7 linked regions of the Mus musculus genome follow. The protein of the gene in region 7 purifies or fractionates together with the protein of the main gene of each other region. This does not show direct contact. Links are inferred from orthologs where the notes say so. Each region holds a gene or a part of one and is shown on either strand. Other genes may lie near its edges.

Region 1 (3,500 bases), on a different chromosome or scaffold from region 7:
ACGACGGAATGACAATTACCTTCCTACATTTGCCTGCCAGGACTCTGGGCTTGGCTGCTGTGACTGACTTTGGCCAATAGGGCATTGATAAGTCAGTGCAAACAGAGGCTTACCCACTGCTTGCACCTTGGACAGGTCCCACTTGGAGCTCTGATACTGGGCTGTGAAGAAATACTGAGTGCTGAGAGGCTACACAGGGAGAAGTTGTAAGAATGAACGTCACCTTGGACATGCTCCTCACGCCACCTCAGTGCATAGAGTGCTCCATCTAGCCTGCTATAGTCAGTCCAGAGAATCATGGGAAATATTCAGTGTTATCATTTCAGGCTACTAAGCCTTTATCTGTTACATAAGAATGGATGACTTACATGGATGGTGACGTAGCTCAAATGTAGTCCTTCTTTGGCATGTACAAGGCCCCAGGTTCCATTCCTCACACCAAAAATCAACAAACAAAATTATTCCAGAATCTGGAGAGATGGCTCAGTGGTTAAGAGCACTGGCTGCTCTTCCAGAGGTCCTGGATTCAGTCCTAGCACCCACATGGTGGCTCACAAGCACCTATAACTATAGCTCTAGAGAATCTGGCACCCTCCTCTGACATCTGAGGGCAGCAGACATTCATGTAGTACAGACTCATAGACAGGCAAAAGACCCATATAATAAAATAATTAACCTGTTATGAAAAATTCCGTAGTTTTGATGTCAGCACTGTATGAGTTGGTTCATATGAAGAACAGTCTGTATCCATGGGTTCTGCATCTGCACGCAACCAACCGCACAGCAAGAATATTCTAAATCAAATGCTGTCTATAGACTTTAAGTGGTCATTATCTCTTATACAATACGAAATAATAACTGTTTACATAGCATTTGTGTTAGATTCCATAGGCCAGCTAGAGATGCTTTAAGTAGCATGCAGGGGAATGTGCCTAGGGAAAATAGTATATTTACAGTAAATATACTATTTTCTATAAGGGACTTTAGCATACAGAAGTCTTTGAGTACTTGGAGTACTGTGACTAGTCCTTGTGTGTGGGGAGCATGAGTATTCACATGAAAGACACAGAGAACACAAATGACGTCACCTTTCCTGTCACCTCTCCTGACTATCGCTGGCACAACTCACCTGGGCTGAGAAGTCAATGAGTTTTGGCAGTGGCTGCTTGCTGCCTTCTTCACTCTTGAGAAAGTCCAGCAGGCTTCCTGCAGAGGGGAGTGAGAAGGAACATGGACTACTGCTCCTTAGTGAGAAATAAGTAACAGTTTTTCATAGCAATAGAGATCTTTCCTCTTTGCAGTACAGGGACTGAACCCAGAGCCTCACACATGCTAGGCAAGCACTGAGTTACATCTCCAGCTAACCACCTCCTCCTCCTCCTTTCTCTTGTTCGTTTTTTGAGACAAAGCTTCTCTGTGTCATTCTGGCTGTCCTGAAAGTAGATTTGTAGACCAGCCTGGCCAGCCTTGAACTCACAAAGAGATCTGCCTGCCTCTGCCTCTCAAGTTCTGTGATTAAAGGCAAGCCAGGTATGACTTTCTTCTTGAGATAGTGCCTTGTTATATTGTTCAGACTGGTCTCCGATTCCCAGGCTCCAGCTATTTTTCCACTTTAGCTAGTAGATTAGTCTTGACTCCCAGCATTTATCCCCGCCCAGCTGCAGTGCTAGTTAAAGACACATCTACTTACTGCTTCTAGTGTCTGAGTGCTAGAGCTTGAATTTTTCTGAAAGGACTTTTTAGTTGCTTACTAACTCTTTGGTTGATGCGGCCCCATGGACCTGGGTGTCCAGGGCTTTGCTTTAGAAAGCTGGGTGGTTGTAGATTTGTAAAGTAGACTTGAAAAGTAGAAAAAGCTTTGAGTTTTCAAGTCACATTGGATGTTGTTGTATGAGATGTTTATCCAGAAATGACCAGGGACTGAAAATGACTATAAACCAGCTGTTCTAAAACTAACTAACTAACTAACTAACTAACTCTGAGAAGCCGGGTGTGGAGACACACATCTGTAATCCCAGCACTTGAGAGGCTGAGGCAGGACAGCTACGAGATTGAGGCTAGCCTGGGCTACATAATGAGTGCCAGGACAACCTGGGCTACAGAGTGGAATCCTTTCTCAAACATTCTTGAAATATGCTGAATAATCCCAGGATACAGTGGCCCAAAGCTAAGTAGCCTGAAGTGACAACACGGACATTGTCATGATTCTGTGGGTTGGTCATAGCAGGACCAACCACACTGTGAAGTGAGGTGACACAGGTGGAACATTCAAGATGAAGTGGCACCTTTATGGTCTTTCTCCATGTGGCTTCTTGTCCCTTAGAACTTGGAGCAAGACTTCTTTACAGCCCAGCACTGAGGTTCCCAGGTACGAGTCACAAGGAAGCCATGTGATTCCTCTGTCGCCCAGAGGCTCTGCAGCCCCTGCCCCTCCTCTCCACCGAGCTCCCTTCACAGGATTGCACTCTGCCAGCCAGGAGGCTGGAGTGTAGATGCTCTATGAGGTGGCTGTGCCAGAAGAGCCACGCCAAGGCCATCTTGGAGACTGAAAGGAGTCAGCTTGGCCCACACTCTATCCCTGCCCACGCACCTTTGGCCATGAACTCCGTGACAATAAAGATGGGCTCCTGAGAGACCACAGCGTGTAGCTTCACCAGTTTGTCATGCTGCAGCGACTTCATCAGGTTGGCCTCAGCCAGGAAGGCCTCCACGGACATGCTCCCTGGCTTCATTGTCTTCACCGCCACTTTGGTGTGCTTGTTGTAGGTGGCTGGGGAAAGCATGGAGCACGGAGGGTGGTTAGGACCCAGCAGCCCTGGAGGAGCCCTCCCTGCCCATCTTAAGCCTTTAAGACAGAGAGAGAGGCCTGGACACCGGTTCCCTGCCTAGCTGAGTACAACTGAAATACCTACCTTCTCTGGGCTGTCTTCCTCACCCACTAAGTGGAAGGGATAAACTCTCACTGAAGGGCTATTTGCAAGACTTATAAAATCCTCCAGTCTGGGCTTGGGGCACATGCCTGTCATTCTAGACACTTGTCACTCTCAAGACAGTGAAGTAGGAGGACTGGAGGCTCCGGGCCAGCCCATGACTCAGAAGACAAGAGTTGAGACTGGTGCTCAATGGCACAGAACTTGCTTAACGCATACAGGATACTGAGTTTAATCCCTGGGTAGTAACCCTTAAGCCACCAGTTAGACTGCAACATGAGCCTGCATAGCATGTAAGCTTAACGCTGCCTTGAAACAATTACCAGATTCATTATGCCCCATAGGCTCTGCTTGGCCTGATCACACCTACTTTTCTGTCCTTGTCATCCACCAAGGTCACCTCCAACACATGCTCAAACTAGAGACTGAACCAGGGTCTCATACTAGGAAAATGCTCTACCACTGAGCTATATCCCAGCCCCCTTCTCACGTTTTATTTTGAAGCAGGGTCTTACTAAGTTGTTCAGGTTGGCCTTGAACTTGAGTCCTCCTGTCCCAATATATAGCTGG
Region 2 (4,231 bases), on a different chromosome or scaffold from region 7:
TTTCACTTTGTTCTCATAAAAATCTCCTGACCTCCATTTTGTTTCTGAACAACAAAAAAACTAAAACAGTCTTGGAAACCTGAAGATTGTGGAGCCTGACAGGAACCATTTTACAGTTAAAAAAATTAAAAGGCCAGGTCTTTAATCTTAGCATTCTGCAGGCAGACCAGTGAGTTTTAAGGCCAGCCTGGTCTACATAATGAGTTCCAAGTCAAACAGGGCTATAGCAATAAACCTTGAGTTGCATTTTAATTATAGAATATTTAAAAAGCAAACTCACTGTAGAAACCAGTTTGAGTAATTTAGACAGAATTATCTTGGCTGGAGTTTTCAGCATCCCTCGAGTACAAATTATGAAACTGCATCCCACCTGTCACTCCTGGCTCTACCATACACAGCAAATGAGGTTTCATCCTGTTACATGACCGTCTCCTCTGCTCTAAAGATGCTCTCTCAGAGCCTCATTTCTATTACCTTCAAGTTTAATATTCCAATTCCATGAAAGATATGAAAATAATAGAAACCAGTTTATCGAATACCACTCACTATTAGTGACCCACAACATCGAATTGCATGCTGACGTTGAGAATTTGATTTTATGCTGACTCTTACACTTTTGAGTTATTAGCATCGCTAGCTTCAGCCCGGTACAAGCTTGTAATCCCAGTCTTGGAAAGACGGAGAAATACGTTCTAGTCCAGGCTGGACTGTATTGAGATCCTGTCTCAGAACAGGACACCTAGAGTCCATGAAGTGGATAACCCACTCAAATGGCTAGGTGGGTTGGCTTTCCCTGTGCAGCCCACCACTCAGAAGTATGCCTCTCTGGACCGAGAGCTCCTCCAGGCTTGTCTTTATAGCCCTGTGGTGCACCTCAGAAACAATTCCAACTCAAGTCGGAGAGAACAAGGCTGATAAACAGTAAGGTCGGTAGGGAGACTCACGAAGTCGCGAAGAAGAGTTTTCACTCTGGAATAAGTCACATCCTTGGTTGGTTTGGGATTATGGAGAGATTCTGATTTACAAGGCTAATGAATCAACAGGGCGGTTAGCGCAGTTTTCTTTAATACTTATGGTGGCCTTAACCGGTGCCGACCGGCGAGTGTGGTAGGATTCGAGGGGCAGAGGGCAGGGCTCTCAAAAAGATGAAATGTGAATGAGGTAGGGACAATGTGGATTTTAGAGTTTGGAGAGAGATCTATTTTAAATAAAAACACGTTGTATGAAACCTTCAAAGAACTAATTAAAAAATATCTATACAAACAAAAATAAAATAAATAGGAACCGCACGCACGATGGTCCTCGCAGGTTGGAAGTTGCCCAGGGCAAGCCGCTGGTGCCCAGTTTCCGGCAGCACCAATCCCAGGGTGATTCCAGGAGCTCGGGGCGGGACTCTGCATGCGGAAGCTAGCGGAAGTGACGCAGTCTCGCGAGACGGAGGACTCCGCAAGCCTCGGCGGCCCGGAACCGGCCTTAGACCGGCGGCGTTGCCTGAGGCGGCTGGCGCTCCCGCCCCATGGAGCGGCCCCCGGGGCTGCGGCCGGGCGCGGGCGGCCCCTGGGAGATGCGGGAACGGCTTGGCACCGGCGGTTTCGGGAACGTCAGTCTGTACCAGCACCGGGTGAGGCGGGGGGCGGGAGCCGTGGCGCGGGCTCTGTCTGGGCGTCCCTGGGACCCGAGCTGTCAGTCAAGGTGGGAGGAGTGGTGGTCGCGACCCTGGACGGGGCTGGGGGCTGGGGCAGTGAGCGAGGGCGAGCGATGGAGCATCCTGCGCTTGTGAGCCTGGGTGGCCGCGGTCCAGGTGTGTCGGAGGTCCCCGGGCAGTGAGTGACAGGCAGCTGTTGCAGCTGTGTGTGGTGATGAGGAGTCTGTACAAAGTCGAGTGCCGATGCGTGTTGTGTGTTTTGTGTATGTGTGTTGTGTGTGTCTCCGTGTGCCTGCTCACACTCCCTCGGGAGCGAGCGGTGTGATCCACTGGAGACTGGACTAGACGAGAAACCTTACGGGTGTGTCCAGAGTTGACCCTTGGGAAACATTGACAGACTTTGGAATTGGAGCGTTTCAGGTAAAAACCAGGGTGAGGGTAAGATGATGAAATCGATCCTTGCTTCGGAGGAAAGAAAATAGAGGGGTTTGTTCTGCAGAAGACAGCTAAGATCAGGCTCAGGAAATTTGTTTTGATTTATCGAAGAACATGTAACCGTTACAACAGCAGTTATTCCTGTCCTTAAAAGGTTTTCAAACTAACAGTCACTTTTCTTACTTTAACGTGTTGTTGTTAATGTTCGGGGTGGAACACAGGACCTTGCACATGCTAGGCAAATGGTCTACCGTTGGGTTACAGCCTCAGCCCTAGTTAATCATGTTTGAGTTGTGGGTCTTTTGAAAAGTCAGTAAAACGCATCTTTTCTCCGGAAAAAAAAATCATATCAATACAAGCCAGTGCATTATTAGTGAGGGTTTTGCTTTCCTGAAGGGTGTAAGGAATAGATCTTGAACACCAATCATTGTAGTATAGGATTTGTTGACTGTAAAATATTTAGAAGAATATACATACATTCTGGGCCTGCTTGAGAGTTGAGTCAGATGGTAACAGAGACGTTAGGAAGTACAAGATAGGTACTGTAATTCCGCTGATAGCTCTCCACTGTCAAGTTATGGCAACCCTCATTACTTGGACTTTTATAAAAGGAGCAGTAAGATAAAAATGGTGTTCTGGAACATCATATATGAGGAATACGTTTTAATTAGAAAAACAGTAAGCCAATTACAGGACATGAAATGATTTAGTTGATTGCTATATCAGGCGCTGATGGTACCCAAATCAACAAGAATAATATGTTCTACTCTGAAGGAGCTTTCCGTTTCAGAGAGGGGGTGGGCATGGTGGCATCCTCTTGTAATCCTAGTATCAAGGGTTCTGAGGCAGGAGGATTTGGAGTTTGAGACCTGACTGGGTGGCTTTCATATCGTGCTCAAGGCCGGTGTCAGTTACATAAGAAGGCCCTGTCTCAGAAATAAACATTAAGTACAGTTTGATACCCTAGGCACTGAAAGATGTCTTAGGGTTTTATTGCTGTGAAGAGATACCATGACCAAGGCAGCTTTTATAAAGCAAAACGTTTAGTTGGGGCTGGTTTCAGAGGTTTAGTCAGTTCTCACTTGGTGGGACATGGTGGCACGCAGGCAGACGAGGCACTGAAGAAGTAGCTGTGAATTCTATATCCTTGACCCAAAGACAGCAGGGAGAGGCTGTGTCTCACCGTGGGTGTACCTTGCGCTTAGGAGACCTTAAAGCTTGAGCCTACAGTGACACACTTCCTCCAACAGTACCTAGTGCTGCCACTCTCTATGGCCTACCATTGAATCACATGAGTCTATGGGGGTCATCACACCCAACTTAGTCTCATTTAAAAAACAACAACAGCAAAAGCCCATCTTTTTGTTGTTGTTTGGCAACTATAAAGTTCCCAAGAGAATATTCTTTTTGAAAAGATTGAGTTTCTCGGGGTAGGTGAGTGTTGTGGTAAATATTTAAAAAGACCCTCCACCTCTCCGAGTTCCATCCAGCTACTCTCTGCCCGCCAACTCTCCGGTGGGGCTGCAGCTCCTAAGTTCCCTTTGCTGCTATGCCAACCCAACACAGCAACAGTCCACTCCACTATCAGCCACCACAACATCCAGCAACCCAGTAGAAACAAAACTCTAGAAGTTTATAATTAACCAGTCAGGTTTATATATCAATAAATTCTCAATTCACAACATGCCAATACAATAATTTCAAAACCAGTTGATACTGATAAAAGCTGCCCACCTAGGCTAGACAGATTATCCCATAACTACCTGTGGCTATTTAAAACCACACGGGATCAGAATCTTCTTCCTGTCCCTCCACCTCCATTTTGGCTTTCCTCTCTTCCTGAGATACTCTCTGTTTCTGCAACTCTTAGCTCTGCCTCCCTTTACCCTGCCCAGTCACAGGCCCCTTGCTGCACTAATATTTTAATGTAATTGGACAGGGAAAATCCTGCCTCAGGTGAAATATAAACTAAGGAGTTGAAGGATCTCTTGTGATTAATGACCTATACCAAATAGATAATTTTCTGCCTCATTCATATCAGAATTTAGGGCTTATTGGCTTTGTTGTGATAACACTTTATATAGGATGTAACTATTATCAGATACCTGCCTGTTTATAACAAAAGTGAAAGGAGTGAGCCCAGTGCTAAAG
Region 3 (3,500 bases), on a different chromosome or scaffold from region 7:
CCTCAGGATCAGCACACAGGAGAGGGGACCAAGTAATATGAAGGCATCATGGAAAGCAGCTAAAGAAAGGGCTTGGCACTATTTCAGAGGTCAGGAGAAGGTGCACCCTCAGCTGCAGTGGAAACCCTAGCATATTGGATGCCAGTAACATGGGACAACCACCATGGAGAGCAGAAGCTGTGGCAAGTTTGTAAGGCATATCTTCAATTAATAATTGCTGTGGGATGGCCCAACCTATGGTAGGTGGTGCCACCCCTGGGCAGGTGGGCCTAGGTTGTATAAGCAAGCAAGCAAGCTGGACAAGCCAGAAAGCAGCATTCCCCTTTTGACTATACTTCACGTTCTGCCTCCAGGTGCCTGCTCTGCCTCTGTCATGGATTATAAATTATAAGCTAAAATAATCCCTTTCCTCCCCAGTTGCTATAAGTCATGGTCTCTATCACAGCAACAGAAACCAAACTAAAACACTATGAGCAATCTACAGATTCAATGCAATCCCCATCAAAATTCCAACTCAATTCTTCAACGAATTAGAAGGAGCAATTTGCAAATTCATCTGGAATAACAAAAAACCTAGGATAGCAAAAACTCTTCTCAAGGATAAAAGAACCTCTGGTGGAATCACCATGCCTGACCTAAAGCTTTACTACAGGGCAATTGTGATAAAAACTGCATGGTACTGGTATAGAGACAGACAAGTAGACCAATGGAATAGAATTGAAGACCCAGAAATGAACCCACACACCTATGGTCACTTGATCTTCGACAAGGGAGCTAAAACCATCCAGTGGAAGAAAGACAGCATTTTCAACAATTGGTGCTGGCACAACTGGTTGTTATCATGTAGAAGAATGCGAATCGATCCATACTTATCTCCTTGTACTAAGGTCAAATCTAAGTGGATCAAGGAACTTCACATAAAACCAGAGACACTGAAACTTATAGAGGAGAAAGTGGGGAAAAGCCTTGAAGATATGGGTACAGGGGAAAAATTCCTGAACAGAACAGCAATGGCTTGCTCTGTAAGATCGAGAATTGACAAATGGGACCTAATGAAACTCCAAAGTTTCTGCAAGGCAAAAGACACCGTCAATAAGACAAAAAGACCACCAACAGATTGGGAAAGGATCTTTACCTATCCTAAATCAGATAGGGGACTAATATCCAACATATATAAAGAACTCAAGAAGGTGGACTTCAGAAAATCAAATAACCCCATTAAAAAATGGGGCTCAGAACTGAACAAAGAATTCTCACCTGAGGAATACCAAATGGCAGAGAAGCACCTGAAAAAATGCTCAACATCCTTAATCATCAGGGAAATGCAAATCAAAACAAACCTGAGATTCCACCTCACACCAGTCAGAATGGCTAAGATCAAAAATTCAGGTGACAGCAGATGCTGGCGTGGATGTGGAGAAAGAGGAACACTCCTCCATTGTTGGTGGGATTGCAGGCTTGTACAACCACTCTGGAAATCAGTCTGGCGGTTCCTCAGAAAACTGGATATAGTACTACCGGAGGATCCAGCAATACCTCTCCTGGGCATATATCCAGAAGATGCCCCAACTGGTAAGAAGGACACATGCTCCACTATGTTCATAGCAGCCTTATTTATAATAGCCAGAAGCTGGAAGGAACCCAGATGCCCCTCAACAGAGGAATGGATACAGAAAATGTGGTACATCTACACAATGGAGTACTACTCAGCTATTAAAAAGAATGAATTTATGAAATTCCTAGCCAAATGGATGGACCTGGAGGGCATCATCCTGAGTGAGGTAACACATTCACAAAGGAACTCACACAATATGTACTCACTGATAAGTGGATATTAGCCCAAAACCTAAGATACCCAAGATATAAGATACAATTTCCTAAACACATGAAACTCAAGAAAAATGAAGACTGAAGTGTGAACACTATGCCCCTCCTTAGAAGTGGGAACAAAACACCCTTGGAAGGAGTTACAGAGACAAAGTTTGGAGCTGAGATAAAAGGATGGACCATGTAGACACTAGCATATCCAGGGATCCATCCCATAATCAGCTTCCAAATGCTGACACCATTGCATACACTAGCAAGATTATGCTGAAAGGACCCTGATATAGCTGTCTCTTGTCAGAGTATGCCTGGGCCTAGCAAACATAGAAGTGGATGCTCACAGTCGGCTATTGGATGGATCACATGGCCCCCAATGAAGGAGCTAGAGAAAGTACCAAAGAAGCTAAAGGGATCTGCAACCCTATAGGTGGAACAACATTATGAACTAACCAGTACCCCGGAGCTCTTGACTCTAGCTGCATATGCATCAAAAGATGGCCTAGTCGGCCATCACTCGAAAGAGAGGCCCATTGGACACGCAAACTTTATATGCCCCAGTACAGGGGAACGCCAGGGCCATAAAAGGGGAGTGGGTGGGTAGGGGAGAGGGGGTGGGTGGCTATGGGGGACTTTTGGTATAGCATTGCAAATGTAAATGAGCGAAATACCTAATAAAAAATGGAAAAAAAAAAAAACACTATGAAAGCTATGAAACCTCCGGCCTTAGATACATCTCAATACATGCATTTCTGTTCAGTTTCTAGCTGGACCAATGGGAAAGGTCTTTGTTGGAAGGCCAAACACAAGGGAGCAGTAGGAGGCACAGAGAACTTAACACCAATGCTAAGAGCCATCAATCTCCTGAAGTTACTACTGGTTGCTGCCTAGTATACACCTTCTCTGTCTATGGCTGTGCTCCTGGCTGCACTCTTACAGGCCCACCTGGCTGACTCATGGCAGCCAACTTTCAGCTTGTTGAACTCGCGCTGCAGCTGCTCCAGCTGCTCCTGCAAATACTCCTTCTTCTCCACCAGCTTCTCCCGGGCATGCCTCTCAGCTTGGAAGTCAGCCTTGTAGATATCCGCCTGGCAAATAGAACAGAGGTGAACACCCACCATCCATCAGCTTCCCATCAAGCATTCTATGCCATGCCCAAAGGAACAGAGCCCTGGCCTAGGACCCTATAATAGTACATCAGAAACAGATATGAAAGCCTATGATCCCAAGAGCACCAAGAAGTCAAGGAAGAATGCAAAGGGCTCAAGAATAGAGAAGCCACTACAAAATGCTGTAAAAAGGTACACAGAACCCCACTGCCTGGATGGGCAGGTCATTCATGTGGTAGGCAGGCTGGAACAGAGCCCTCACCTGGGCCTTCAAGACTGGCACAGTCTCCATCACAATCTTGTGCTGCTCAGCCTCCTCTTTCAGCTTATCAATCAATTCCTGTTTGGCTACCAGGGCCTCCTCAGCTTGCTGGAGCTGTTGCCTCAGATCTTCCAGCTGCATGCCCTAGAGAAGGACAAAGGGTGCTGTCAGAGTCTTTTGGCCCACAGTGGGGCCAAGCTACCTCCCTGGCTGGCCATTGTTTGAGACTAAGTAGGAAAAGCTGGAACAAAGTCAGTCCTTTGGATTTTGGAGCCAATGACCATGTGTGCAGGGAGAATACTGCATCC
Region 4 (3,500 bases), on a different chromosome or scaffold from region 7:
CCGGTACACCACGTTCTTCTCGGAGTGCAAGTAGTCCAGGGCAGACACAATCTCCGCACCATAGAAGCGGGCCCGGTCCTCGGAGAACACACGCTCTCGAGACAGGTGGAAGAAGAGCTGTGGGGTGGAGCGCGCTGAGGAAGGCCTGTGTGAGGGCCCGCCAACCCTTACCCACAGGCAGAGGGAAGGTTAGGAACTAGCCCCCAAAGAGAACTGGAGACTGCGAGACTCCAACTCAGCAGAAATAAGACATCCCCAAACGAGCAGCTACAGGCTCACATGGCCAGGGCTGGCAGCACCAGTGATCTGTACTACAGAGAGGGTTCAAAGCTCTCAGAGGGACAAGTTCACCCATCAAGTGCCCAGGTCTGAAGCTGCCTGTGGCCCTACCTCGCCCCCGTTGGCATACTCCATGACAAAGCAGAGGCGGTCGTGGGTCTGGAATGAGTACTTGAGGGCCTGGAATGGAAGCAGGGCAAGCCTAAGCACAGTGACACTGCCACCCCAAGATGGATCAGGGCACATCTTGGGTATCACCGTAGCCCAGGCTGGCCTAGAACTCAGCAGGGGCTACAGATGCAGGCCACATGCCAACTGGTAGATTTTAAGATGAGAGACACGAGGTCTAGGTTCAACTGCAGGGCAAGATGGCTTAGAAGTTAACTATACCAAGTTCTGGGGTTCCCAAGAGCCTCCAGATGGGGAGGTTGACACAACAGCTTATGAACTGGTGCACTGAGCCACCCCGGCACCTTTCCATCATGGACCACGGGTGGAATAAGCCCAAGATGCTGACTCTGGAACTCAATCAAGCTACTGTAACTGAGCTTCACTAACAATCAACCCTGAGGGACCAGCCTAGAAGACGGGTCTGAGAGGACTGCAGGGATGGAGAGCTGGGGCAACTCAAGGTCTCAGCAGAGTGAGAAGACGAGTCTCACTCCTGCCTCCTGCACACTACAGCTGGGGCATGACTGCAGCCCCGCCCTCCATCAGCCTACCTGATGCCCATGAAGCCCTTGCCCGTCCGTGTATGGGTGCAAAGGCAACAGTGTGGGAGTGACCCACTCTGGCCCACTCTTCCCTATCCCACAGGGGCCAGACTGATGGCCACTGCTTACCGTAAGGAAGGGATGCCTAGAGTTCTGCAGGACACGGTTCTCAGTAAGCGTGTGGGCAACCTCATCCTGGAATGCAGAACCAAGTGAGCACCTATCTCCCCTGCATCCCACTCCTCTCAGCCTCCCTCCAAGCCTGCCCTCCCTGCACCTTGGCGACGATGACCTCCTTCTTGAGGATCTTCATGGCATAGTAGCGGCCTGTGGCCTTCTCTTTCACCAGAATCACCTTCCCAAAGGTGCCCTTGCCCAGTAGCTTCAGGTACTCAAACTCGTTCATGGTCTGTGGGCAGTAGACAGAGCCCGGTTAGAGAGAGCCTTTGCTCACCACAACTAGCCTATGGTAATAAACCATATGCCACCGCCTTCGGCTTGACAGTGTCCAGAGTGAGCAAGCTTCCTCCAAGTTAGCCAACAGCAAGAGAGCTGGCCACAAGCCAGGCCCATTCTCACATGTGCTGGCCTGTGCAGTCAGTGAAGGGCTCTGCACAGTCTAGTCAGAGCGCTGGGCCTTGGGAGTCAGCGGGCATCTTCATATTACTTACTTTTAAGTACTGGGGTCTCATGTCTCATGCACGCTGGACAAGCACTCTGCCAACTGAGGTGTCCTCAGCCCATGTCCAGAGGAGCCAGGGGTACCCAGACCCATACAGGAAGCCAGGCAGGAATACCAGGACCTACCAGGTCCCTCCACAACCCCTGGCAGCCCCAGCAGAAGCAGAGCCCAGACTCACCACACGGTGCTTGGGCTTGGCCAGGGACACCTCCATCTCTTCAGCCCCTGAGTTGTCACTGGGTGAGCCTGATCGGAAGTCCATCGTCTCTTCTTCCTGCCTCTTGAGTCCATCTGCCACAGTCTGAATGGCGGTGGCCCATTCTTCCCTGCAGCGGGTCAAGTGAGGCCTCAGGCACCTGGGGGCGCTGTTGCATGGCTTCCACCAACCAGCTGCCTGGCTCCCTGGTCCTGAAGCTGCAGGCCACCACTCAGATCCTGGGCCTCCATACACTCAAGAGTATCAGGAGCATCAAGGTACCTGGGATGCTGATATTTCTCCCATTATGCCCCACTCATCCCACAAGTGCTCCAGTCTAGTTCTCCAGAATGGACTCAGCAGAGGCCTCAGGCTCTCGAGCAACCATACCCTGCCCACTCACCGCTCCTCAGGCGTTTCCACATGGAAGGTGCGCTCAATGACTGTGGTCCACTGCAGGCAGCGGATGATAAAGGTGTTGGGCCTTGGCCGCTCTGTCTTCATCAGCTGGCATTCTAAAGAAGTCGGGGAAGCATCTATCTGTTTCTCCGTGAAACTCCCCCTCGTAGTCCTCACCAGACAGACCTCAACCCTGTCCCAGGAAGGTGAATCTCATCCTCACTTTAAAAGTGTATTTGCCAGGTGTGGTGGTGAACACCTTTAATCCTAGCACAGGTGGATCTCTGTGACTTTGAGGCCAGCCTGGTCTACAGAGTGAGTTCCAGGACAGCCAGGGCTACACAGAGAAACCCTGTCTCGAAAAGCAAGCAAACACACACATTGATTTCAGGGGCTGGAGCGATGGATGGCTCATTGATTAGAAGTACAACTGCTCTTCCAGAAGACTAGAGGTTCAATTCCTAGCACCCATATGGCAACTCACAACCATCTGTAACTCCAGAGATCTGATGCCCTCTTCCTGTCTCTAAGAGCACCAGATCCACACATAAAATAAACAAACACCCTTCTTTACACACAAAACAATAAAATGTAAAAAGTTTTAAAGTTTTAAAGCTTTTTGTTTGTTTGATATAGGGTCTTTTGCTGTGCAGCTCTGGAAAACTCCACGTAGACTGGAAGTCTCAAACTATGGCGATCCTCCTGCCTCTGCCTCTCAAGTGCTGATTTTACAGGTTCTAGCCACCACCGCTAGCATTTCTGTTTTCTTCCTATGTAATTCAGACTGACCTAGAACTCACTATGTAGTCTACACTGGTCTTGAACTTGAGGTAATCATGCCTCAGCCTCCTGAGTGCCAGGAATACAGCATGAGCCACCACACCCTGCTCCATCCCCTCTCCTTGCCCTAGTTCCTCTCAAAGAACTGAGACCCAAGACCTGCCACAGCTGAGATGCTCTGCTCTGAAGGTGAAGGAACCAGTCAGGCTAGATCAGTTAGCCCTACACCATAACTATCCTGAAGTTCCTCTGTCCTTCAACTGCTGATCCCTACCTCATGTGGGGGCCTCAGGGATCCAGCCCACACCCCCTTCCGGTACAGAAGTATCTTGCTGTTTTCCCAACAACATACAGAGTCTCTGGAAAAGTCACACATGTACTCAGCACCCAAGCCTCACACTGGGAGCACACACAGAACAAGGATGCCCAGAGCATGAACACCTGGTGGCCA
Region 5 (3,500 bases), on a different chromosome or scaffold from region 7:
TTTTGGCAATGGAAGCACAAGAAAATATTCGTGGTCTGGAAGTGACAAACTGAGTATGGAATGATTGGTGTCTTTTAGCGACCCACCTGGGACTCCTGACCCATCAAGCAGTTTGTACACGGTGTCACTGTATACAATTGTCATAGTGAGAGTAGTAATGTGGAATGCTGACAGTGTTCTAGGAGACCACATCTGAGGGAAACAGGGCAAGCAGGGCGCAGGAAGAAGTCAGGACTCACCTTGCTGTCTGAGATGCACTGAGTAGCAGGCTTGTCAGGGAGCAGCACCAGCCCTGCCTCTTGCAGCAGCTCCTGGTCTGTCTCCAGGATCCCCGTGTCTTCCTGGATTCTGGTTTTTAAGCTCTGCAGACTCTCATCCTCCGTCACGGGGTATGTGTGAACGGTGCCTGTGACCATGTTCAAGACATGAACCAGCTGCAACACAACCCAGATGTTACTGGGAAGAAATTTTCTTAACATTTATTTACATTGTGTGTTTGTATGCTGTAGTGGTTTGAATATGCTTGGCCCAGAGAGTGACACTATTTGGAGGTGTGGCCTTGATGGAGTAGGTGTGTCTCTGTGGGTGTGGGCTTTAACACCCTCATCCTAGCAGCCAGGAAGCCAATCTTCTCCTGTTTGCCTTTGGATGAAGATGTAGAACTCTCAGCTTCTCCTGCACCATGCCTGTCTGGACACTACCATGTTCCTGCCTTGATGATAATGAACTGAAGCTCTGAACCTGTAAGCCAGCCCCAATTAAATGTTCTTGTAAGAGTTGCCTTGGTCATGGTGTCTGTTCACAGCAGTAAACCCTGACTAAGACACTTGCATATTAGGAGGGGGGAGCACGTGCGCACACCACACCACGTGTGTGGAGATCAGACGACAGTTGGAAAGAGTTGGTTCTCTTTTCCATTAGGTAGATTGTCAGGCTTGGCCACAAGTATTTTTACCTGATGAGCTATCTCACTATCCCAAAAATCAAAATTCTTTACAAAAGGCTCATGGATTTGCCAAGACCCTTTGCTACCCCCAACCCATACTTGCTGGTAAAGGGCTAGTTTAAGTCCCATTTTTCCTCAACGGCAAGATGTCAAAACATGTCAGTCATCTCAATTTTCCTGTCCTCTTTTTAGCCCAAAGAGTCAGAGGAACCTGAATTTCTTCACAAGGCCAAGTGGCCCACGATCTGATATGTCTCCCTTCCTTGGAAAGACTGCTGTGCTCCACTGGGGACCACAGCTGCTGCCTCGGGGCTGCTTGGGCTCTGCTCTAACCTTCAAGTTCAAGATGTCATCCAGGGCTCTGAAGCAGCCGTTGGGGCCATACTGGGGATCCGTGCCCCTTTGCCGAGGGTGCCACATAAGCATCAGCTGCAGCCACTTCTCCAGCCGTTCAGCCAAGACACTAAGGGAGCAAAGGGAAGAGAGGCCTGAGCCGGCCTGCCGCAGTGTGCAAATCCCGAAGCACACACAGCCTTCCTTGGCTGATAGCTCAGCTCGAGTGAGGTGCTTGCTGTGCACACATGAGAACCTAAGTTCCATCCCAGAGTCCACATAAGAAATGCTTCTATCAGATGAGTGGATCCTTGAGGGGTCAGCCAGCTCAGCCTACTTGCTGAATTCCAGACCTGAGAGAGAGACTCTGCCTTGAAAAGGAGAAGGTGTGGAGCGACGGAAGAGAGCCAAGGTTGTCTTCCATAGCACACATACACCTGCACACACTGAAAGTGACCCTGACACTTTGATAAGGCTTGTGAGAGCTGGGTGGGGTGCTTGCCTGGTTCCGTGGTTTCCTGATCAGCACCATGTCTCTGTGTGTACATATGTGTAAACACACATATGAAGAAAATATGAAAAAATTAGGCCAAGATTTCTTTGTGTAAACGAATCACATACATTTCATTAATCTCATTAGTATGTAAGTTTAATATATGAATATTTTAACTTAATATTTGTCTTTAATAAAATTTAATATTTGCCTTTAAACAGTATGATTAAACCAAATGATTCTTTTAAAATATATGATTTATTATCAGTAGATGCTTGACTTATATACTTTATGTATCTACATATCTGGGGTATTATAAACATTTCTTGGGCACAAAGGGATCCCAGCTGCTGGCTGTCCTGGAATTCACTCTGTAGACTAGGCTGGCCTCGAACTCACAGAGATCCACCTGCCTCTGCCTCCCCAGTGCCTCCCCAAGTTCCAGGGTATCCTGGTCTACAGAGTGAATTCCAGGCCATTCAGGGCTACACAGAGAAACTTTGTCTCAAAAAATCAAATCCAAACCAAAGAAAACAAAACAAAAAAACAAAACAAAAAAGCCACCAATCAAAACCAAAGCCAGGGACTTCATCTCCACCATAGAAAAAAACCAACCAATCAACCAACTACCCAATCAACCACCCACCTAACCACCCACCCGCCCACTCATCCACCTGACCAACTACCTACCCAAGCAAGCAAGCAAGCAAGCTAGCAACCAACCAACCAATCAAACAAACAAATAAACAATTTTTAAAAAGACTCCTAGGAAGATGAGATATGGAAACCCATCCTATGTCTAATGTTGAGATAGACTGGTCCAAATTCTCAATCACAGGATGGTGTTCTGATATCTATTCAAAAGTTATGCATGGGCCTGGAGATGGCTCAGTGCTTAAGAGCTAGGGTTGGTTCCCAACACCCACACGGCAGTTCACAGTCATCTCTAACTCCAGTTCCAGAGATCTGACTATTCCTCTGGCTTCCACAGGCACCAGTCACTCAAACGTATAAAATTAAAGTAAAAAAGAGTCAGCTGTTATCTCAAACCTGTAGCTCTAAACAGAGGCGAAGAAGATCTATAAGACTGATGCCCCACGGCCTTACCTGTTAAGATTATTGGGGAAGGGTAGCGAACTTGAAAACTTCACTGCTCCATTCAAGTCTTCACTAACAACGATGTCCACTTCGCTCTTCTGCCGGACTTTGGAGTGCCTGTAGGTGTCATTTTAAGATGTCCTTTATGTCACTCAGTGGCAAGTACCCGGTTTACACGTGTAATGTCACTTCACGACTATTCTTTTGGAAAACGGTGGGCAGCATGCTGCTAGGATGCTTCTCTGAGTGTTTGTGAGTGGTCGGCACTGTGGTTAGGGGCTTAGCTCTAAGCATTGAGTTCAGCAGGAGTGTTTGTGAGTGGTCGGCACTGTGTTTAGGGGCTTAGCTCAGTGCACTGAGTCCAGCAGGAGGCCTCTCGTCCTAAGTCTCCAGGAGGCACCGTTGACCTCTGTGTGGAGGACTGAATAGAGACAACCTAAGTCTGAGTAGTGCTGCATGGGCGACCAAGTGCTCTTGGCCATGTCTCTAATTTCCTCTGCACCTCAGTTGTCAGGGACCAACTTCCATTTGAAAACAGTCATTTTCAATTGCACTTAGGTGTGTGTAGAAGGATATATGTCTCCTGTGGGCTGCCTGCCTGATGCAGGTGCTAGGAACCAAACCGAGGTC
Region 6 (3,500 bases), on a different chromosome or scaffold from region 7:
GTTGTGGGTGCTGGGAATTGAACTCCTGTCACCTGCAAGAGCAGCCAGTGCTTTTTTTTTTTTTTAGATTTATTTATTATTATACACAGTACACTGTAGCTGACTTCAGACACACCTGAAGAGGGTGTCAGATCTCATTACTGGTGGTTGTGAGCCACCATATGGTTGCTAGGATTTGAACTCAGGACCTTTGGAAGAACAGTCAGTGCTCTTACCCGCTGAGCCATCTCACCAGCCCACAGCCAGTGCTCTTAACTGTTAAGCAATCTCTCTAGACCCTAAAGTAATATTTTTAGATAACGCAGAAATGGTGGAATGGAAAGGAAATGAAAATCCAGGCCTGGAGGCACTGACCTGGACTTCAGCTACTTAGGAGACTAAGCAGTAAGGTAGCAAGTTCAAGGCCAGCCTAGGCAACTCATCAAGACCATATCTCAAAATGAAAAAGGAGATAGTGGCATGGCTCAGTGGCAGAGCAAGGCCCGATGTTTCATCCCTAGTATATAAAGGGAAACAGGGGCTGGAAAGATGGCTCAGCAGTTAAGAGCTCTGCTCTTCCAGAGGACCTGGGTTTGGTTCCCAGTACCAACATGGTAGCTCACAACTGTCTGCAATGCAGTCCCTAGGGATCTGACACCCTCTTCTGACCTCCTTGAATACCAGGCATACTCATGGTACATAAACATACAAGCAGACAAAATCCCTATGTACATAGTGAGTAAGTCAATTATAAATGAATAAAAGTTTGAAAAGAGTGAGCAGATGTTAGTATGAAATACAAAGCCATAAAAAACAGCTATGGTGACTTCTATAACTGATAACATCAGGCACCCCTGGGAAGTGGAACAGTCTGGGGAGATGTGTCCTCAGAGTAACCCAGGGTCTGTGCAGTGAGTGACCTTGCCAGCAGGACTGAAGCAAGTAACAGTGTCCTGCATCTATGCCATCTGGGGTCATGTGGGTTCCCACTCACCTGAAAGATCCGAGGGTCCCCAGGTGGAGGGCTGCCTGCAGGGGAGTAGACGGGCTCCAGCCGGGTGAATTCCTCCGCAAAATTCCCCACATCCAGCTCTGAGCGGATCTGGGGCCGGAATGGGGCTGGGATCTTTCTGGCAGCCAGAGCCACCCAGTCCAGACCCTGGGAACAGAGGTTAAGGGTGAGAACAAGGTGATCCACTCTGCTTTCTCTGTGGTATGGAACGGAACCTTTCAGCCTGTGCCTAACCTTGAATGACTACTTTATAATATAATGACACAGCCTTGGCGTGTGCTACTCCATTTTGAATCTAACTGCTGAGAAAGAATGACCGTTACATCTCCTTTATACAAGCAAACAACTGCCACCTGCCAGCACAGCCAGAGGCACAAGCTGATAAACATTTGTATCTAATAAATAAGGACACCTGGAAATGTAGCAAGCCCTGAGGGAGGGCGAAGCTCAGGCGGGAGTGTGCCTCCCTAGATGCACACAGAATCCTGGTCTGATCCTCAGAATGCATGAACTGAGCATGCCTATCATCCTAAAACTGGGGAGGGTGGAGTCAGGAGAGTCAGAAACACATAGGGAGTTTGAGACCCTGGTGGGTGTCAGAAAGATCAGACACTGAGCATATCACATCTAAAGGAAGTCCTTCCCCTGGGACTGTGAAAAGAAGGATCCTATGATCAAACTGTGGCTGCCCTGCTAACTAGTCACTGGGTCACAGGTGACAACCTCATCCAGGCAAATTGCCACAGCAGAGGACTGTCACCCAAGCGCCCCCATAGCTTCTTCTTCAGGGACGTTCAGCCCACTTCAGCCTGGCCCTGAACTGCTCAGACTTCAGGACAGCCTCAGCAGGGAAGCCTCTCTAAAGCTTCCTTCGCCATTCTGCAACCTATGTATAATTACCATGTGGCACTTGGGCTGGAGAATGAATTCTCCTAACGACAAGGAGACTAAACACGCAGGTGAGACAGCGCCCTGGAAGGGGGCACTCACCCCCAAGCCTCACAGTCACACAGTGGAAGGAGAAAACCCATCCCTACAAGTTGTCCTCCCTTTTGGGAATGAGCACCTGCTCTTTGATATGTTTAAGCTAAGGTGGCAGAACTAACTAAGCTTCTGCCAGCATCCGCTTTCCTGTCTTTTTAGCATCATAATTCCAATACAACCAAGATGCACCATCTTACAGACACTTCTTTGTAGCTGGTTGTGCCCAATAGCTTGCAAGGAAATACTGTCAGGTGGAGCCTAGGAAAGCACCTTGAAGGGAAGGTGAGAAGCTTGCAAACCCTGCCCTTCCTCCTCCCACTTCCGTCCTGGAAAGCAGGCTACATAGTCATCCCTTTGGAGTCACAAAGCAACCCTAAAAATGGATGCCATATCTAAATATGGAAGAACAGAGAGACAGACAGACAGACAGACAGACAGAATGAATGAATGAATGAATGAGCTTGGATTCTCAAAGACAACCTGGTCTGGATTTCTTCTCCTCACCACTACCCCATTGTATGTGCACATATATATGCATGTGTGTTTGTATGTGTGCGATGTCGGGTAAGTGTGTATGTGCAGTAGCCTCCAAAGATCTTTGTCCAAAGAAAGGGCAGAAGGGAGAGGACACCATGTCAAGTGCCAAGCCTCAAAGACCTTGGGGACTTCTGCAGGATGATAGACAGGTGAGCACTCTCCCAGCAGTCTGAGATGGGGGAGGGGGGTGTTCCAGAAATTCACTGAAGGAAGTGGACCCTGGTCAGCTCCATTCTGTGTTCTAGTCTTGCCCATGCCTCTACCTGGGGCCATGCTGGCCCGGGAGAGGAAGACTCTGCTCTGAGAGCACCCCTGGAGACCCTCCAAGGCTAGGATCCCAGCATGGAGGCAGGAGGGACCTGTGCCTGGCCACAGGGGATACCCACAAATGGATGGATGCTCTTGCTGCATGTCAGATAGATGCCAAATCTGATGACTGTATATAAACAGAAGACAACAGCTAGGAAAGGCCACTCAGTGAGATCACATGTGAAGGCTCCGTGCTAGTTCACGCATTCCCAGGGAGCTGCCCAGTGAGTGCCCTGAGGACAGTGGGGTCTGCACATTCTGCCCTTTGACCTCTTATTGTGTGTAACATCGGAAAAGATGGAATACATTTGTGCTCCCCATGCTGCAGCCCGGCCTTCAGAGGTGAAGGACCTATGAGGTCATACATTAAAGCCTCACCTGGAAGAAGGGGTGACTCTTGACTTCCTGCGCACCCTGGGGACCTGCGCCCAACCTCTTCTTAGGGTCCTTGCACAGCAGCCGCTGTAGCAGGTCCTGTGCCACAGGCCCAATCCGGAGAGGGAAGGGAGGGGAGCACTTCAAGATCCGTCTGGGAGGATGGGTGGGGTGTCAGGGGCAGCAAGCCCCCTCCCAGCCCAGCCCAGGAAGGCCGTATAGCCCTCAGCTACCCTCCATGACCTGTACAACTCACCGGGACACCTCAGCCTGAGTGTTCCTCTCTCCCTCCAGTGTGAAGGGT
Region 7 (3,500 bases):
GTTACATAGAGACGGTTTCATTAGTTAAACCTAGTCTTCAAAAAAAACATAGACATGTGGCAGCAGGGCACCAGCGGATGGGTAGCACGTGGCTGTGTGCTCTGTAGTCAGGGCCCAGGGTGCGTCCCTGACCCAGGCCTGTCTGGTCCCCTGTGGTAGCAGGGTAGGAGTTCTTTCTATGACTGGCTGCTGATTGTCCCTGCCTGCAGGCCCGGGTGGAACGCATGGAGCAGTTTCAGAAGGAGAAAGAGGAACTGGACCGGGGCTGCCGGGAGTGCAAGCGCAAGGTAGCCGAGTGCCAGCGCAAGCTGAAGGAGCTGGAAGTGGCTGAGAGCGATGGCCAGGTGGAGCTTGAGCGGCTGAGAGCTGAGGCACAGCAACTGCGCAAGGAGGAGCGGAGCTGGGAGCAGAAGCTGGAAGACATGCGCAAAAAGGAGAAGAACATGCCCTGGAATGTGGACACGCTCAGCAAAGATGGCTTTAGCAAGGTGGGACACTGGCAAGAGTGCTATGGAGTGCGGTCAGGCTAGCTGGGGGTGGTTCGGTGGTGGAGGCTAGACATGCCTGTAAAGACCCCAGGTCCACCCCTGTGTCCCCATCCCAGTAAACTAGAAAAAGAATTCTGACAATGAGAGCCAGGCAAAGCCACCGGGTGGGGTGCGAGGACAGGGGAGGGACAGACAGACAGACAGTTTGAGCTTGGGATTGGCTAGTGGAGGCCAACGAAGCCCATCCATACCCTCTGATCTGCCCGAAGGCCCGCGGCCATGCCTCCGCCACCTTGATGCACTTAGCGACGCCACCGCCTCCGATGTGGACAGGATGGGCGCGGCGGCCACGGCCCCCAAACCCCAGGCGCACCCCTGCCTTGCCCCAGCCCACTTGCCCTCTCACCCTGTCACAGAGCATGGTCAATACCAAGCCTGAGAAGGCAGAGGAGGACTCAGAGGAGGCAAGGGAGCAGAAACACAAGACCTTCGTTGAAAAATATGAGAAACAGATCAAGCATTTCGGTAAGTTCCTGCACAAAGGCTAGGTTAGGAGTCAAGGCCAGCAAAAGGCTTCCAATGGCCTCTGCGACATCTTCCTAACATCCTCTCCTGCAGGCATGCTCCACCGCTGGGATGACAGCCAGAAATACCTGTCGGACAACGTCCACCTGGTGTGTGAGGAAACGGCCAACTACCTGGTTATCTGGTGCATTGACCTGGAGGTAGAGGAGGTAAGTGTGCCCTTCCCAGCTGCGGGGACTCCCAGACACTGCGCCTGCTCACGCCCCGCCCACCTCTTTGTCCTGGCAGAAATGTGCACTGATGGAGCAGGTAGCTCACCAGACCATGGTGATGCAGTTTATTCTGGAGCTGGCCAAGAGTCTGAAGGTCGACCCCCGAGCCTGCTTCCGGCAGTTTTTCACCAAGATCAAGGTAATGAGCTCCTGTGTACCACCAGGAAATCCACAGTGCAGTGCGCGATGTCAGATATTTATTAGAGGGGCTTGAGGTGCCACGGGGATGGCCGTACATATGTATACTTGTGTGTGTGTGTATACATACATACATACATACATACATACATATATATATGTATGTATGTATATGAAACGTGTGTGGATGTGGATGTGGACCCATATGATTAAGAGATAACTTTGTGTGGTTGGTTCTCCACCTTTCTGTGGGTCCCTGTGGTAAAACAAGCTGTTAGGCTTACATGGCAAAGCACTTTCACCTACTGAACACCTAGCTGACCCTATTTGAGGATTTCTTTCTATTCATTTACTTTAAATATTAAATAATTTATATGTAATGTAAATATATTGCATAAACATTATATAAGTAAATATTAATTTTTTTTGTTGCTGTGTGTGTGCCTGAGTGAGTTTATGTGCATCATTCGCATGCAAGTGTCTTCAGAGGCTAGAAGAGGGCGTTGGGTCCCTGGAGGTGGAGTTGCTAGGGTTTGCAAGCTGTCATGTGGGTAATGGGTACCAAACTTGGTTCCTCTGAAAGACTGGGGAACCTGAGAGCAGGGCAGGGTAGAACAATCCAGAACTGAGGTTTCTGTAAGACCTTGCTGGAGGACACCTGAAGATGTGATACCAAGCTGGTGCTGTTGAGCCGAGCCAGGCGGCTGGCCATTAGCAGGTGGTCTCACAAGCTAGTAGGATGGGCGCTGAATGCAGGAGACAAAGGCCAAATCTTGAGGTAGCCATGGTGGAGTTCAGGAAAAGCTTCAGGGAGCCTTCACCTCCCTAAACATCTGGTTATGAATTGCAGTGAGCAGTACCCACCCTCTTCCACAGACCGCTGACCACCAGTACATGGAGGGCTTCAAGTATGAACTGGAAGCCTTTAAGGAGCGAGTGCGGGGCCGCGCCAAGCTGCGAATAGAGAAGGCCATGAAGGAATATGAAGAGGAGGAGCGCAAGAAGAGGCTAGGCCCTGGTGGCCTGGACCCCGTGGAGGTCTACGAATCCCTGCCTGAGGTGTGACTCCCCAGGGCCCAGGAGGGAGGAGGGTGATGTATACCCATTGCTGCTCCCTGCCCCCGCCCCTCTGCTCCCACCCATCCCAAGCCCAGGCCCTCACCCTGGCCCCTCTGTACTCAGGAGCTGCAGAAGTGCTTTGATGTGAAGGATGTACAGATGCTGCAAGACGCCATCAGCAAAATGGATCCCACTGTGAGTCCCTAGTCCCTGTGGCAGATGGCAGATGGCCAGGGGGTGCAACCCTGTCATCCAAGAGCAGGGTTGTGAGTCCAAGGCCAGGCTTAGTTAAGATGAGCCAGAGCAATTCAGTGAGACCCTGTCTGAGAACGACACCCTTCTGCACACACGCACGCAGTACAATACCAGTATACTTTAAAAAAATCTTTTAATTCCTTGCCCCACCACCACCACCTTTTTTCTCTGAGATAGGATCTCACTGTGTAGACCAGGCTAGCTTCAGACTCACACAGATAGACCTGCCTCTGTTCCCAGGCTAGCTCCAGACTCACAGATAGAGCTGCTCTGTCCCCTGCGTGCTCAGGTTACCTCGCTGGTTACTTAAGTGCTGGATTGTAATCTCTGGTCCTCATGATTTGGAGGAAAGTACTCTTAACTGCTGAGCATAGCTGTCACCACTCCCTTTTGTCTGTGTGTTTGTTTTTTGAGACAGGGTCTCATGTAGCCCAAGCTGACCTCAAATGTGCTACATAACTGATGACCTTTGCTCCTGACCCTCCTGCTGCCACTTCCTAATTGGTGGGATCACAAGTGTGTACCACCATATCTGCTTGTCTGTGGTGCTGGAATGGTAGAGTCTCAGAACACTGGGCAATTGCTGCACCCGCTGAGTCACATGCTAGCTTCTGCAGTTCTATATTACCAGTCCTGGGTGGAGTGGGTGCTGAGCAGCCTTGAAGGAGGTGCAGGGGACACTGGGCATCATGCTGCTGGCATGGCCTCATCTGCTGTCCTCCCTCTCTCCACAGGATGCCAAGTATCACATGCAGCGTTGCAT

Evidence for each region.
Region 1: the proteins of Cdc37 (region 7) and Hck purify together in Homo sapiens (affinity purification with mass spectrometry; 3 studies listed by BioGRID and IntAct, with this or other methods). This does not show direct contact. The link is inferred for Mus musculus from reciprocal best matches to the Homo sapiens genes CDC37 and HCK.
Region 2: the proteins of Cdc37 (region 7) and Chuk purify together in Homo sapiens (affinity purification with mass spectrometry; 7 studies listed by BioGRID and IntAct, with this or other methods). This does not show direct contact. The link is inferred for Mus musculus from reciprocal best matches to the Homo sapiens genes CDC37 and CHUK.
Region 3: the proteins of Cdc37 (region 7) and Ikbkg purify together in Homo sapiens (affinity purification with mass spectrometry; 7 studies listed by BioGRID and IntAct, with this or other methods). This does not show direct contact. The link is inferred for Mus musculus from reciprocal best matches to the Homo sapiens genes CDC37 and IKBKG.
Region 4: the proteins of Cdc37 (region 7) and Akt1 purify together in Homo sapiens (affinity purification with western blotting; 5 studies listed by BioGRID and IntAct, with this or other methods). This does not show direct contact. The link is inferred for Mus musculus from reciprocal best matches to the Homo sapiens genes CDC37 and AKT1.
Region 5: the proteins of Cdc37 (region 7) and Ikbkb purify together in Homo sapiens (affinity purification with mass spectrometry; 8 studies listed by BioGRID and IntAct, with this or other methods). This does not show direct contact. The link is inferred for Mus musculus from reciprocal best matches to the Homo sapiens genes CDC37 and IKBKB.
Region 6: the proteins of Cdc37 (region 7) and Rps6ka4 purify together in Homo sapiens (affinity purification with mass spectrometry; 3 studies listed by BioGRID and IntAct, with this or other methods). This does not show direct contact. The link is inferred for Mus musculus from reciprocal best matches to the Homo sapiens genes CDC37 and RPS6KA4.

Annotation. Positions count from the first base shown.
Region 1 is NC_000068.7:153,135,968-153,139,467, reverse strand, and holds part of Hck (tyrosine-protein kinase HCK), read right to left. Parts: intron 2,771-3,500; coding exon 2,591-2,770; intron 1,207-2,590; coding exon 1,130-1,206; intron 1-1,129. UniProt on the Homo sapiens protein: Non-receptor tyrosine-protein kinase found in hematopoietic cells that transmits signals from cell surface receptors and plays an important role in the regulation of innate immune responses, including neutrophil, monocyte, macrophage and mast cell functions, phagocytosis, cell survival and proliferation, cell adhesion and migration.
Region 2 is NC_000085.6:44,104,678-44,108,908, reverse strand, and holds the start of Chuk (inhibitor of nuclear factor kappa-B kinase subunit alpha), read left to right. Parts: upstream 1-1,431; 5' UTR 1,432-1,516; coding exon 1,517-1,621; intron 1,622-4,231.
Region 3 is NC_000086.7:74,443,181-74,446,680, reverse strand, and holds part of Ikbkg (NF-kappa-B essential modulator), read right to left. Parts: intron 3,337-3,500; coding exon 3,193-3,336; intron 2,910-3,192; coding exon 2,767-2,909; intron 1-2,766. UniProt on the Homo sapiens protein: Regulatory subunit of the IKK core complex which phosphorylates inhibitors of NF-kappa-B thus leading to the dissociation of the inhibitor/NF-kappa-B complex and ultimately the degradation of the inhibitor.
Region 4 is NC_000078.6:112,657,277-112,660,776, forward strand, and holds part of Akt1 (RAC-alpha serine/threonine-protein kinase), read right to left. Parts: intron 2,386-3,500; coding exon 2,274-2,385; intron 2,076-2,273; exon of another isoform or gene 2,001-2,075; coding exon 1,853-2,000; intron 1,402-1,852; coding exon 1,270-1,401; intron 1,188-1,269; coding exon 1,122-1,187; intron 460-1,121; coding exon 391-459; intron 118-390; coding exon 1-117. UniProt on the Homo sapiens protein: AKT1 is one of 3 closely related serine/threonine-protein kinases (AKT1, AKT2 and AKT3) called the AKT kinase, and which regulate many processes including metabolism, proliferation, cell survival, growth and angiogenesis.
Region 5 is NC_000074.6:22,672,084-22,675,583, forward strand, and holds part of Ikbkb (inhibitor of nuclear factor kappa-B kinase subunit beta), read right to left. Parts: intron 2,988-3,500; coding exon 2,880-2,987; intron 1,410-2,879; coding exon 1,280-1,409; intron 435-1,279; coding exon 240-434; intron 1-239.
Region 6 is NC_000085.6:6,834,128-6,837,627, forward strand, and holds part of Rps6ka4 (ribosomal protein S6 kinase alpha-4), read right to left. Parts: coding exon 3,453-3,500; intron 3,351-3,452; coding exon 3,200-3,350; intron 1,139-3,199; coding exon 974-1,138; intron 1-973. UniProt on the Homo sapiens protein: Serine/threonine-protein kinase that is required for the mitogen or stress-induced phosphorylation of the transcription factors CREB1 and ATF1 and for the regulation of the transcription factor RELA, and that contributes to gene activation by histone phosphorylation and functions in the regulation of inflammatory genes.
Region 7 is NC_000075.6:21,139,935-21,143,434, reverse strand, and holds part of Cdc37 (hsp90 co-chaperone Cdc37), read left to right. Parts: intron 1-209; coding exon 210-488; intron 489-757; coding exon 758-1,013; intron 1,014-1,106; coding exon 1,107-1,222; intron 1,223-1,301; coding exon 1,302-1,424; intron 1,425-2,299; coding exon 2,300-2,482; intron 2,483-2,605; coding exon 2,606-2,677; intron 2,678-3,471; coding exon 3,472-3,500. UniProt on the Homo sapiens protein: Co-chaperone that binds to numerous kinases and promotes their interaction with the Hsp90 complex, resulting in stabilization and promotion of their activity. Inhibits HSP90AA1 ATPase activity.